Drosophila melanogaster: one gene and its partner. The protein of the gene in region 2 interacts with the protein of the main gene of each other region in a pairwise test. Each region holds a gene or a part of one and is shown on either strand. Other genes may lie near its edges.

Region 1 (5,229 bases), 7.3 Mb from region 2:
GTTGCGGCCATCGGAGTAAATTAAATGGAAAATTCCCATTCACTCGGAACTGAGGCACGTTATCTAACAGGGAGAAAGCAGGGAATTGGGAAGGTAACCTCTGCCAGCACAGTATCTTTATTTCCGCACAACGTGCCGTATGCGTAATATCATTTACAACTGCAAGGCGACTGTCTAGTGAAATATACAAAAAGTCGTAATTAAAACAATATTCGTTGACTATTCGTGGTTGGAAAAAAACGCCACAAAGAAATGAAACGAAATATTCCTGCCAACTTTGTTGGCCCCAAACTTCGACAAACTAATTTAAAAACTTTGTTGCGTTTTTGGTTTTTGGCGCGCAGCAACTTTGATTTACTTTGAAATGAAGTGCCCAGAAAACCAAGAAAAAAAAGCGGGAGAACAAAAGTTGCAACTGCAAAATGGCAATTTCCACCTTGTGTGTTGACAGACAAGTTTGCAAAGAAAGGCAATTAATTAGCATCCGGAATCGGTTGCCTTGGCAAACTCACGAAAAATGCAAAAAGTTGGCCATACCAAGCTAATATTTACATATTCTCCAGCAAAGGTCGGTGAAAGTTTTAAAGCACCATTGTCTGCTCTTCGATGCCCTAATGAGCTGTCGTTCAATTAATTGAATGCTCACACACTTGGGCCATAACAATCAAGTGCTTCTAATTGCAGCAATTATAGCCGACGAAGGCAGGGGCCAACAGCCATTGCCAACAATTACATGCATAAATAGTCGACAATGTGCTCGAGAATATGACGAGTGGCAAGTCCTAAAAATAACACTGCGAGCAGAAACTTTTTAAAGTCGAGCAATTACAATTACAATTACATTTAAGATGTTGGGAAAAGTTCATTATCCTGCTGCTGGCATGACCTCAATCGCAGAGCCAAGGAAAAAAGCGAACCAGAACACGAGCACAAAAACTATCTTGCCTATTTATAACAAGCTGCTCACACACAGGCACACACACAGACCCACGAATTTCGTCGCTTCTGGCGCTGAAATACTATAGAAAAAAACCATAGCACAGTTATGGGGTGGAAAACCAAACCGCCAAACCGGGAAATGGGAAGTGGTTCGGAGAGAAGCAGGGGGATCCCCGCCTGTGGACATCTCATGGTCGCAGTTTGGCTGGCAGCCCAGCATATAAATTATTGAATGATTGCCATCTGTCAAAATTGGCCAAACTCAACGATTAATCCTGCTCGGAAAAATCCAATAAAATCATAATGGCTTTTCTTTTCAAGCCGTTCTTTATATTTTTCAACACGGGGGATCTTTCTGTTGGCTTAAAGGAAAATTCAATTGAATAGTTGCACATTTGAGTTCTTCATGTATTAAATACATATGCAACATGTTAATTTAAATTTGGCCAATTATGTTTTAATTCATCTACAGAAAAAACTACATATTTATAGAAGGAAGCTATGAAGACTTTCTTTTCATAATAAGCCCGTCTAGGTTGTGATAATGTTGTATTAAGTATCCGCAACGTGTACCAGGCCATCGACGCGTGACTTTCGATCATTGCAGTGGAAACTGAGTACAGTGGGCTATAAATATATACGAAATACGTGAAAGCATTCAATCGGTGGAAAGTGCTGTTACGGGTATTAAAACACCGCTCCAGAGAAGGTAACGGTAACCGCATGCACGCTGTAGATACCTTTAGTGTACATATATATGTATGCATATGTACATGCATACGTACATACACACGAACGTGTGTGGTGGGTGTACACTGTATGTAGTATGTGTGTTACGCACGCAGCAGCAAACAACTTTAACATTGTTGTTGCGCAGGCTGTGGGACAAGTGTGAAGTGAAAACCGCCCCCAGAGTGCGAACCCAAAAAGTGGGACTTTTCTGCTGCTGCTGCTGCTGGTGCTGCTGGAAGCTTATGAATATGAAACGCTCACACACACATGCTGCTCCTGCCGTTGTGGCACTTGCAGTGGTATTGGTGCTGCTCCAGTTTCGTTGGCCATTTACATCTACTTTACTTACATGCCTCTCGCTCTTTTCGCTTTCTCTGTATGTGTGTGGCGGGTGTATGCGTGAGTGTGTGTGGGTGCGCGCTTTTTTGTGCCAAAATGTAGCTGAACTCTGCTTTTAGCCAATTTCTCCGATTTTATTTAGGCATTTTTCTATAATTTCGGTTTCATTCACCATTTCGCCTGCCTCGGTTTTACAGTGATTACCCGCATTTGCATATTGTATATGCATCAGCATGTGGGCGAGTATGTATATGTATATGTTTGGATATATGTATGCATGTGAGTGTGTGTGGGAGAGTGTAGTTTTACGCTGGCTGCTCTTTTTCGTATTTTTTTTTTTTTTTTGCCTTTATCGATATGCTTACACTTTTACTTTTCACTGTCCCACCATTTTCCCGGAATCATTATATCTTTCACTGGATTTTTTAACTGCACTCGCGGCGAGCTTTTTCACGTTATTGGCGAGAAAATGAAATTTTCACGCAGCAGCGGTGCTGTTGGGCAAACATTTGGTGTACAGCGAAATTTTTCGTGAGCTCGCTCGCTCGCATAACAGCTCTTTTTTTCAGCTTGCGCAAAATAAGTATTTACCACGCGATTTTGACACTTTTTGCTTAAACTGCGGTTTTCGTTTTCGGAAGCACAGGATTTTATCCTTTCTTTTTGGGTTAACTTTTTGTAATATTTTGTATTCGGGGGCTTTTGAACGGGTTGCGAACCTTTTTTGCTGCTTGTGCTTCTGCTTCTTGCTTGCTGCTGCTGCTGCTTTTTCAGGTCGCCTGTTTTCCTCTTCCACGTTTGCGCTGGGAAATTCACATAAATGCATATAGTTTACACTAGGCTACGTAGGCTGTACATAATATATCCGAAAAACGCGATCGTTTCACTGCTACTATATAGAAAAAAACTCCGCCTAGTTGTCCACTTTCTGTGGGTAGTAGCAGTTGGGTCTCAGTGCGAATACCGAAAAGTGGGTCATCTCGGTCGCGCTGCTGGCGCACTCTGATTTCTACCCAACTGCCAGCTCGGTGCTCAGTGTGCCAGAGCAGAGTGGCCCAGAGAACCCAGAGCCGAGCACTCAGTACCCAGTGCCCACTATTCAGTGTGCGGGGAATCGATTTTTCTGCCAAATGACACTGAAAAACGGGCAATTCTCTCCCGCTCTCAGAAGGACTCCTTTGGGGTTGCAACTGGGTAAATTTCTGCTCAGGGCCTGTTATTGGGGGTTTACTATTACTTTTGGCTGTTATCCGTTAACAGCGCTGTCCTCTGTTAACGACATGTGCGTGTAAATCTGAGATTTTGATTTCAGTTTACCAATCTCTGATTTTCGAAATCAATTCTCGGGTAATATAAAACAATTATTTCCACATCATACCACACCTAATACTATAAATTATAAAGTAATTTTACGTAAATTGGTTAAATATGAAACACTCTTTTCAATTTTGGAATATAAATACATTTATTTGTCGTTTTCTTTTCGCTATGTCTACATTATGAGTTTGTTGCCGTTCTTTTACTTTTGCTTAGTGTTCGATTTTCATATAACATTTTATTAATTAAAATAATTTTTTCTCCATCCTGTTGATAGTGCTGTCGGCCACTAATGTCTTTCGCTTTCGCAGTTTTCAAATAGAACATATCATTAAGTAAAAGATTATTATGTATAGTGTTTAAATTTCAAACTCTAACAATTAAAAACAGTTAAAAATTTAAGTGTTCCGTTAATGTTTTTGTTTGTCATCTCCCCGTAGTACATACATTTCCTGTTTCTCGTTTTTTTTCCACTAATTTTAAATTTATTCGTAGGCGCTTCTCCTAAACAAAAACAAACTAGCCGATGTTGTTTGTTAACAGAAAAAGAATGAATTATTTACAATAAATTGTAAACGAAAAATAAACTCTCGCACACATCGTCCGTCTCCATAAATAGTTGCTCACTAGTTAATTACAATGCTTAGGCTTCGCAAAATTTTGTGTCCGAGTATGTGTAATACATATGTATATACGATATAAATTAGGCCTATTTATTTAGTTACAACAGATTTTCATTTACGTTCAAACATTTAACTTGGACTGCGTCGGGCGATTTTGTATTTAAGTGTGTTGAGTTTATTTGATTTGTTTCGGTCTTGGTATGTTAAATGGTTATTTAAACATAAAATTAAAATGCCACTAATTAATTAATTTGCCATAATTAAAGGATTTAATTCTCTACTCGCATTTACTCTTAACTGTCAGCATTATTTGATTCGTTTGCCGTATTAGAAAAAGTGCACTTATGAATACTGCATTCGGTCTGAAAATAGATAAAATAAAAGAGAATCGGTTAGAAAATCCTTGCTGAAGCAATTTGAATTAGTAATGCAATTTGGCCCCAATTTCATGAAAAGGTCAGCGGTAATAGCCATTAGTACGTAATCGAAGCAATTTACAATTTAAAATGGGCGGGGGTCCGGCTTAATATCCGCCCCTCAGAATCTCCGGCGCAAAATGATAAACCAAACAATACCCGGAATGCCAATGGAATGACATCATCTCAACGGTTGGCCCGAAACGATAAGAAACCAGATATGAGCCGATTTAAAGAAACCGGCTGTCATGGCGTCGCAGCGTATCGTTTGATAACACATATAGTAAATAATCACTGCAGGTGATTCTTAATACTTACTGTCCTTCTTTGAAGTACTCCTTCAGCGTTGTGCTGAACTTCTTGGAATATTTGACGAACTCCTTCTTACGCTGCTCCACAGCCTGCTTGCCCGTTACGCCAGGTATAAACGAGCCGATCTCGTTGACCACATCGAGTAGTTTCTTTATGGCGCTGGCGATTTCCCTGTAAAACGCAGTAAAATTTCATTATTCATTAATCAGTTAAGCTTATGCAGTGAGTTTTAGCTTCATTTTGAGTTTTTACTTACTTGATGGTCTCCAGGAAGGTCTTCCTGTCGTTTATCTCATCGGGTATGCGGCTGAGGATCACCTTGAGAGCCACGGACTTACGATTGAGCTCCTGGAAGGGCTCCTCCGTGCGCGTCAAGCGGTATTCATTGACTGTGGAAGGGGGAAACTTCGTTAGCTACGAAACTCAGCTGCTGGCGTGGCTACTTACGGTCCGCTTCCGTAATTTTGCCCTGCAATCGGAGCACGGCCTCGTTTAGGTTAACATTCAGATCGGCCCGCCGCACAATTGTGGCTACGAGGTCATAGCAGAAG
Region 2 (4,916 bases):
CCGAGGTCAACGCCAATATAGACAAGCTAAAGGTGACTTATTCGCATGCTAGTAGTGAGACGATACTAATTCCTAATCCTCCAGAAAACCACCGACGAGTGTGTTCAGATACTTTCCGCAGTTTGCCGAGTCCTCAGCCTGGCCAACTTTACGCTCTGTTTTCCGGCCGCCAGTTTCTGGCAACGCGAGGTTTACAACAACGATGAGAAGAGCCTCTATGTGGGCTATGTGCTGGACGAGATCTATCTGCCCACCATACGTGCCACCAAGGACATTGTCATACTCAAGCTGATCCTGAAGCTGATTTGTGAGGCCTGGCTGGACTTTATCTACCAGAAGCGCATTCGCTTCAGTGTAAACGGAGCGGTTCGGTTGCTCAACGATTTCGACGATGTGCGTGAGTGGATTCTGGCCTGCAGTCTGTTGGATGAGGAGCAGCTGGATAAGCTGAGCAACCACGAGGTGCTGCGCATGTGCAAGGGTGTGGGCAAGATATTGCTTCGAAAGCCAGAGGATGTGATCTCCATCACCCAGTCGCCGAAATACGACAAAAAGGCGCGTAAGTTGTGTTTGAATATCTATGTGGATCCTATGTTTTTCTGGTCTCCTTGTAGAGGATGCCTCTGCCCAGGACACACAGCTGCCTTCGGAGATGTTCGTCTCCAATCAGAAACACTGGCTGCAACTGAGAGCCAGTGGAGGCAATGGATTTCCGTTCCTGAAACTTTGCTGCGGCGATATTGGCATGTAGATGACCTCGTCAGGGGGTACAAATGTTTATTGAGCCGCTAAAATGCTTTACAAAAGTGAGGGTCTAGAATATATTATAATATATATTAGAAAAAGGGTAACTATGGTTATGGTTATTCTCTTATGTGGAAATCTCCCTTTAGGCGGGCACCTTGCGACTAATGATCTTTATCAGCTCATCCACGCGCTCGCTCTTGCCGGCGAATTGTTTTGGATGCGGTCCAATCATTTGAATGATCATCGGTACGTCTTGCGAGACCTGAAAAATAGCAAAATATTCGAATATTTGACAGCTGTCAATTTGGGCTACCCCGAATATAGGTCACTACCTCGAGGAATCGAACGAGGGCCCTCAGGGTGCGGAAGATTTGGTCTTCGTTGGGACTGCTCTGGAAGAACTGAAGAATGGCCATGGCCAGCTCCACGGCGATATCGTCGAATACCTGCAGATATATATCTTGTATCTACGATATTTTCCAATACTTTGCATACCACATACCACAGTCTTCACTTCCTTAATAGCAATGTTGTACAGGATCATGCTGCCAATATTTTTCAGCTGCGGGCAATTGGAGAGGATGCAGTGGACGGCCACCTTGGTGGTCACTCGTATGTTGGAGATGGTCTGACCATTGTATTCCCACTCCGAAATGTACAACAGCCATTCGGAGGGACCCAGGTTCTCAAAGAGATTGCACATCTGAAACATATTGAATATATAGCAAACTTATATATTCATTCTCCCATTGCGGGACCTACAAACATGGCCCAGGCCTGCTGCTCCTCGGGCGTCTGCTTGTCAATGTCCTGGGCGTAGTTCATCAGTGTGTGATCCCTTCGATCCTGGTGCAGAATGATGATCACATCATCTTTGAGCGCCGCATAGGCCAGCGTGCGGATCAGGTGTATCCGTGTGTCCGGCGAGAAGGCCTGATTGTCACGCAGGACGCGCTGCACGAAGATCAGAAAGTTGTCGCCCAGCGCCCAGGAGCCATCGTCCTCGATCAGATACTGATGCAGCTCCTCCATGGCCACTTCCTCCTCCTTGTAGATCTTGCCATCGAGCAGTTTCACTAGGCTCTCTAGCTCAGTCTTTATCTGTGGGAAGTGGAAGTGGAAAGGATAAGATATATGATGCATTTAGCGATGATTCGGCATTAGATAATATAAGTCACAGATTTACTGCAATTTTCAAAAGTGCATCTAATTGTTTACAAACAAATCAGCCAGTTTGTAATTGTGTATATAAGAAAACATTTTTGTTGGTTTTTTTTTTGGTACTTGGATACAGCTTCCTAGTCTTTGGACTTACATCGATGTCTTTGAGGACCAGCGCCGGTTCGCGTGGTACTTCCTTCTCCTCCGTGGACTTGGAGCGCTCCTTGCCGTTCTGGGACTGCTGTTGTTGGGCTGCGGGCTCTGACATCTCTGGTCTATTAATAGCCGCATGAGGAAATTATAATAATAAAATAAATTGTATAGTCAAAATTAAATGAACATGCATTCGCATGGGACCACAACAAACTTTCGCTGCGCAAGAGCCATTAAATTGCAAAGGATTTTCACTTTTTATTCGATATTATTTTTTACGATCCGCCTGCGATAATGTTGTAATTTTCAGCACAAATTGCCAATCAGGCGTGCTGAAATGTTTACAATTTCGGCAGTAGAAATATGTGAGGAATTTGATGTTTCATATAAACAAAAAAGGCGGAAAAGCATTTAACTTAATTAACAGCAGAGAAGCGCTGGGAAATGAAAAGGAAAAAAAAGAAAAGCGGTTGCCGGCGACACCATTGGGTAGGGGAAAAGTTGTCAAACCGAAGTGTGACAGTAAAACTGAGGAAAACTCAAAATAGCCGTGGTATTTTTAGTTTTTTACTTTACGTAGACAAAAACAAGGTACAGAAGATTCTCAACTGGCAACACGAAATTGCATGCAATGTGATATAAACGACTTTTTTCCGGCCTCAACCGACAGAAATTGGTAATTATAATCAAATAAAATGTTGAGATATTCCCAATTAATATGCATAATTTATAGATTTCCAAATTACTCACATGCTATTTTAGTAGAAGTGACACAGAAATTCCTACACTTTCGACACCAAATCGTGGGAAAGTCGCGAAGAAATCACAATTTAAAAATCAACTAGGGCACAAATGGTATCAGTTGTTTATTCAAAATTCCGAAAATGAATATATGGTTATTTATTTTCCAGATCATGCAACTTTTGTAGAACTTTTCATTGAATTCCAGAGATTCGAGTAGCACGCGAACCGTTTTGGCAGAGAGTCGCCTCGAAATTGCCTCTGTTTGTTCGGAAAAGTCTAGTGGAAGTGTGAGGAAAAGTTTCGGAAAATGCACACTCAAGCGCGTAGGAGCGATCTGTGAGTGTGTTCTTTCGGATATATCCGATCGGATCGGGTCTTTATAAATAGATACAAACGCCTCAGTTCGCTCGCGAGCGAATTATGGCCAATGCAGCTGCACTGAACGAAATTAGTGACAATTGCGGGGGATTTTCGCCCACTTTAAGCCTGCCCAAGTTGCGTTTCAAATTGAATTTGCAGTGGTTTTTATTACACTCGGCAAGGGCAAGGACCATCCTTCACACGTCAATGCAATGTTAATGTGCGGGGGCGACCCGGCTGGGAAAGGTCGGGAAAAACACAAAAAGCCATTAAGTGGCAACCAAAATACATTCCAGGCCCAGCTGGTGGTCCTGTCGCCTTCTGAAAGCAACAAGTCTCACATTGCGTAGCCGAGATGTTGACCAAGGCCCAAGCTGCGGCCACTTTCATTTGGCTTTCGAGTGTTAAGCGCGTCGGTTGCTAAGTGGATCCTTATTAAAAAAAACACACTCCTGCAATGAGAACGTCCATGAGGATTTCCCTGAGGCTGCTTGCACTCCTGGCTTGTGCCATTTGCTCTCAGGCTTCGCTGGAAAGGGAGAACAACGAGGGCACCAATATGGCAAATGTGAGTTATCAATGGATTAACTATTTCATTAAGACCCAACAGAAAGTGGAAGTAAATTGTGAAATTCGTTAAATTAGTTAAGCGGAGTTATAATCTAAGTTGATAACGCGACGCATTGTTTAACGTTCATTTACATACCTAATTAAATAGTTGTTACCTGATTAGTTTTGATATAAATATAATTTATCGTCTTATTTGCAGCACAAGCTAAGTGGCGTTATACAATGGAAGTACGAGAAGCGACCGTTTTGCAATGCATTTACAGGTAATTTTAATACAATATATAATAATATCCATTACAATCCGGACGATTTACAGGCTGTGGACGAAAGCGTACGTATCCCTCGTATCCGCCATTCTCGCTATTCAAACGCAACGAAGTCGAAGAGAAACCCTATAACAATGAGTATTTATCCGAAGGTCTAAGTGATTTGATCGATATCAATGCCGAGCCAGCTGTGGAAAATGTTCAAAAGCAAATCATGTCGCAGGCCAAAATCTTCGAGGCCATCAAAGAAGCCAGCAAGGAAATCTTTCGGCAAAAGAACAAACAGAAAATGTTGCAAAATGAAAAGGAGATGCAGCAATTGGAGGAGCGCGAAAGCAAATAAATCGAAATAATCGGATAAATCGGAATTATCGGAATAGTCGGATTTCTGGAAAGCAAATTGACTGGACGGTTAGCACACTGCTTTTGTTATTGTACATACTATCTTTATCCATGACTCCTTGAATTGTGAAGAATTCCACAGCACTGGCATTGCATTCAATAAAAATTGTTGACCTCACTTTTTGTTGTTTTCTGGTCTATTGTATTTATTGGTAATACATCTGATTATAGAAAACGGTTTAGAAAGTTCATTATTTTTACCACACTGAATATACAATATGTTACCCTATGCTATCTCTTGGTGACATTAGTAATTGGTAATCGCAGTTGGTTCTCGTATCATTGCATACTTATGATAACGATAAGGACAATCATAAAAGGTATTTCAACAGCAAACAGATGGATTGCACCTAGGCAACTTTAGCAAATAAATTAACAAAACACACATATTCATTTCAACTTTATAATTTACATAATACCTATAAATAGAGAGCGAGTTAAAAGTAACATTATTATAACAAGAAACTATGTTAATTCATAAAAGTTATTTTCGAATTTAAATATTAATTAATG

What was found.
Region 1: the proteins of CG6972 (region 2) and Rbp interact in a two-hybrid assay, tested with the Drosophila melanogaster proteins (one large-scale study listed by BioGRID).

Annotation. Positions count from the first base shown.
Region 1 is NT_033777.3:15,372,469-15,377,697, reverse strand, and holds the start of Rbp (RIM-binding protein), read right to left. Parts: upstream 3,064-5,229; 5' UTR 2,837-3,063; coding exon 2,730-2,836; exon of another isoform or gene 2,021-2,729; intron 1-2,020. Other genes in the region: Ccm3 (cerebral cavernous malformation 3), read right to left, coding at 4,228-4,312, 4,685-4,849, 4,935-5,067, 5,126-5,229.
Region 2 is NT_033777.3:22,700,186-22,705,101, reverse strand, and holds CG6972 (uncharacterized protein), read right to left. Parts: upstream 3,096-4,916; 5' UTR 2,812-3,095; intron 2,184-2,811; 5' UTR 2,177-2,183; coding exon 2,063-2,176; intron 1,849-2,062; coding exon 1,510-1,848; intron 1,451-1,509; coding exon 1,250-1,450; intron 1,194-1,249; coding exon 1,077-1,193; intron 1,010-1,076; coding exon 890-1,009; 3' UTR 764-889; downstream 1-763. Other genes in the region: CG13842 (uncharacterized protein), read left to right, coding at 1-32, 85-559, 615-751; CCAP (crustacean cardioactive peptide), read left to right, coding at 3,623-3,733, 3,935-3,998, 4,052-4,344.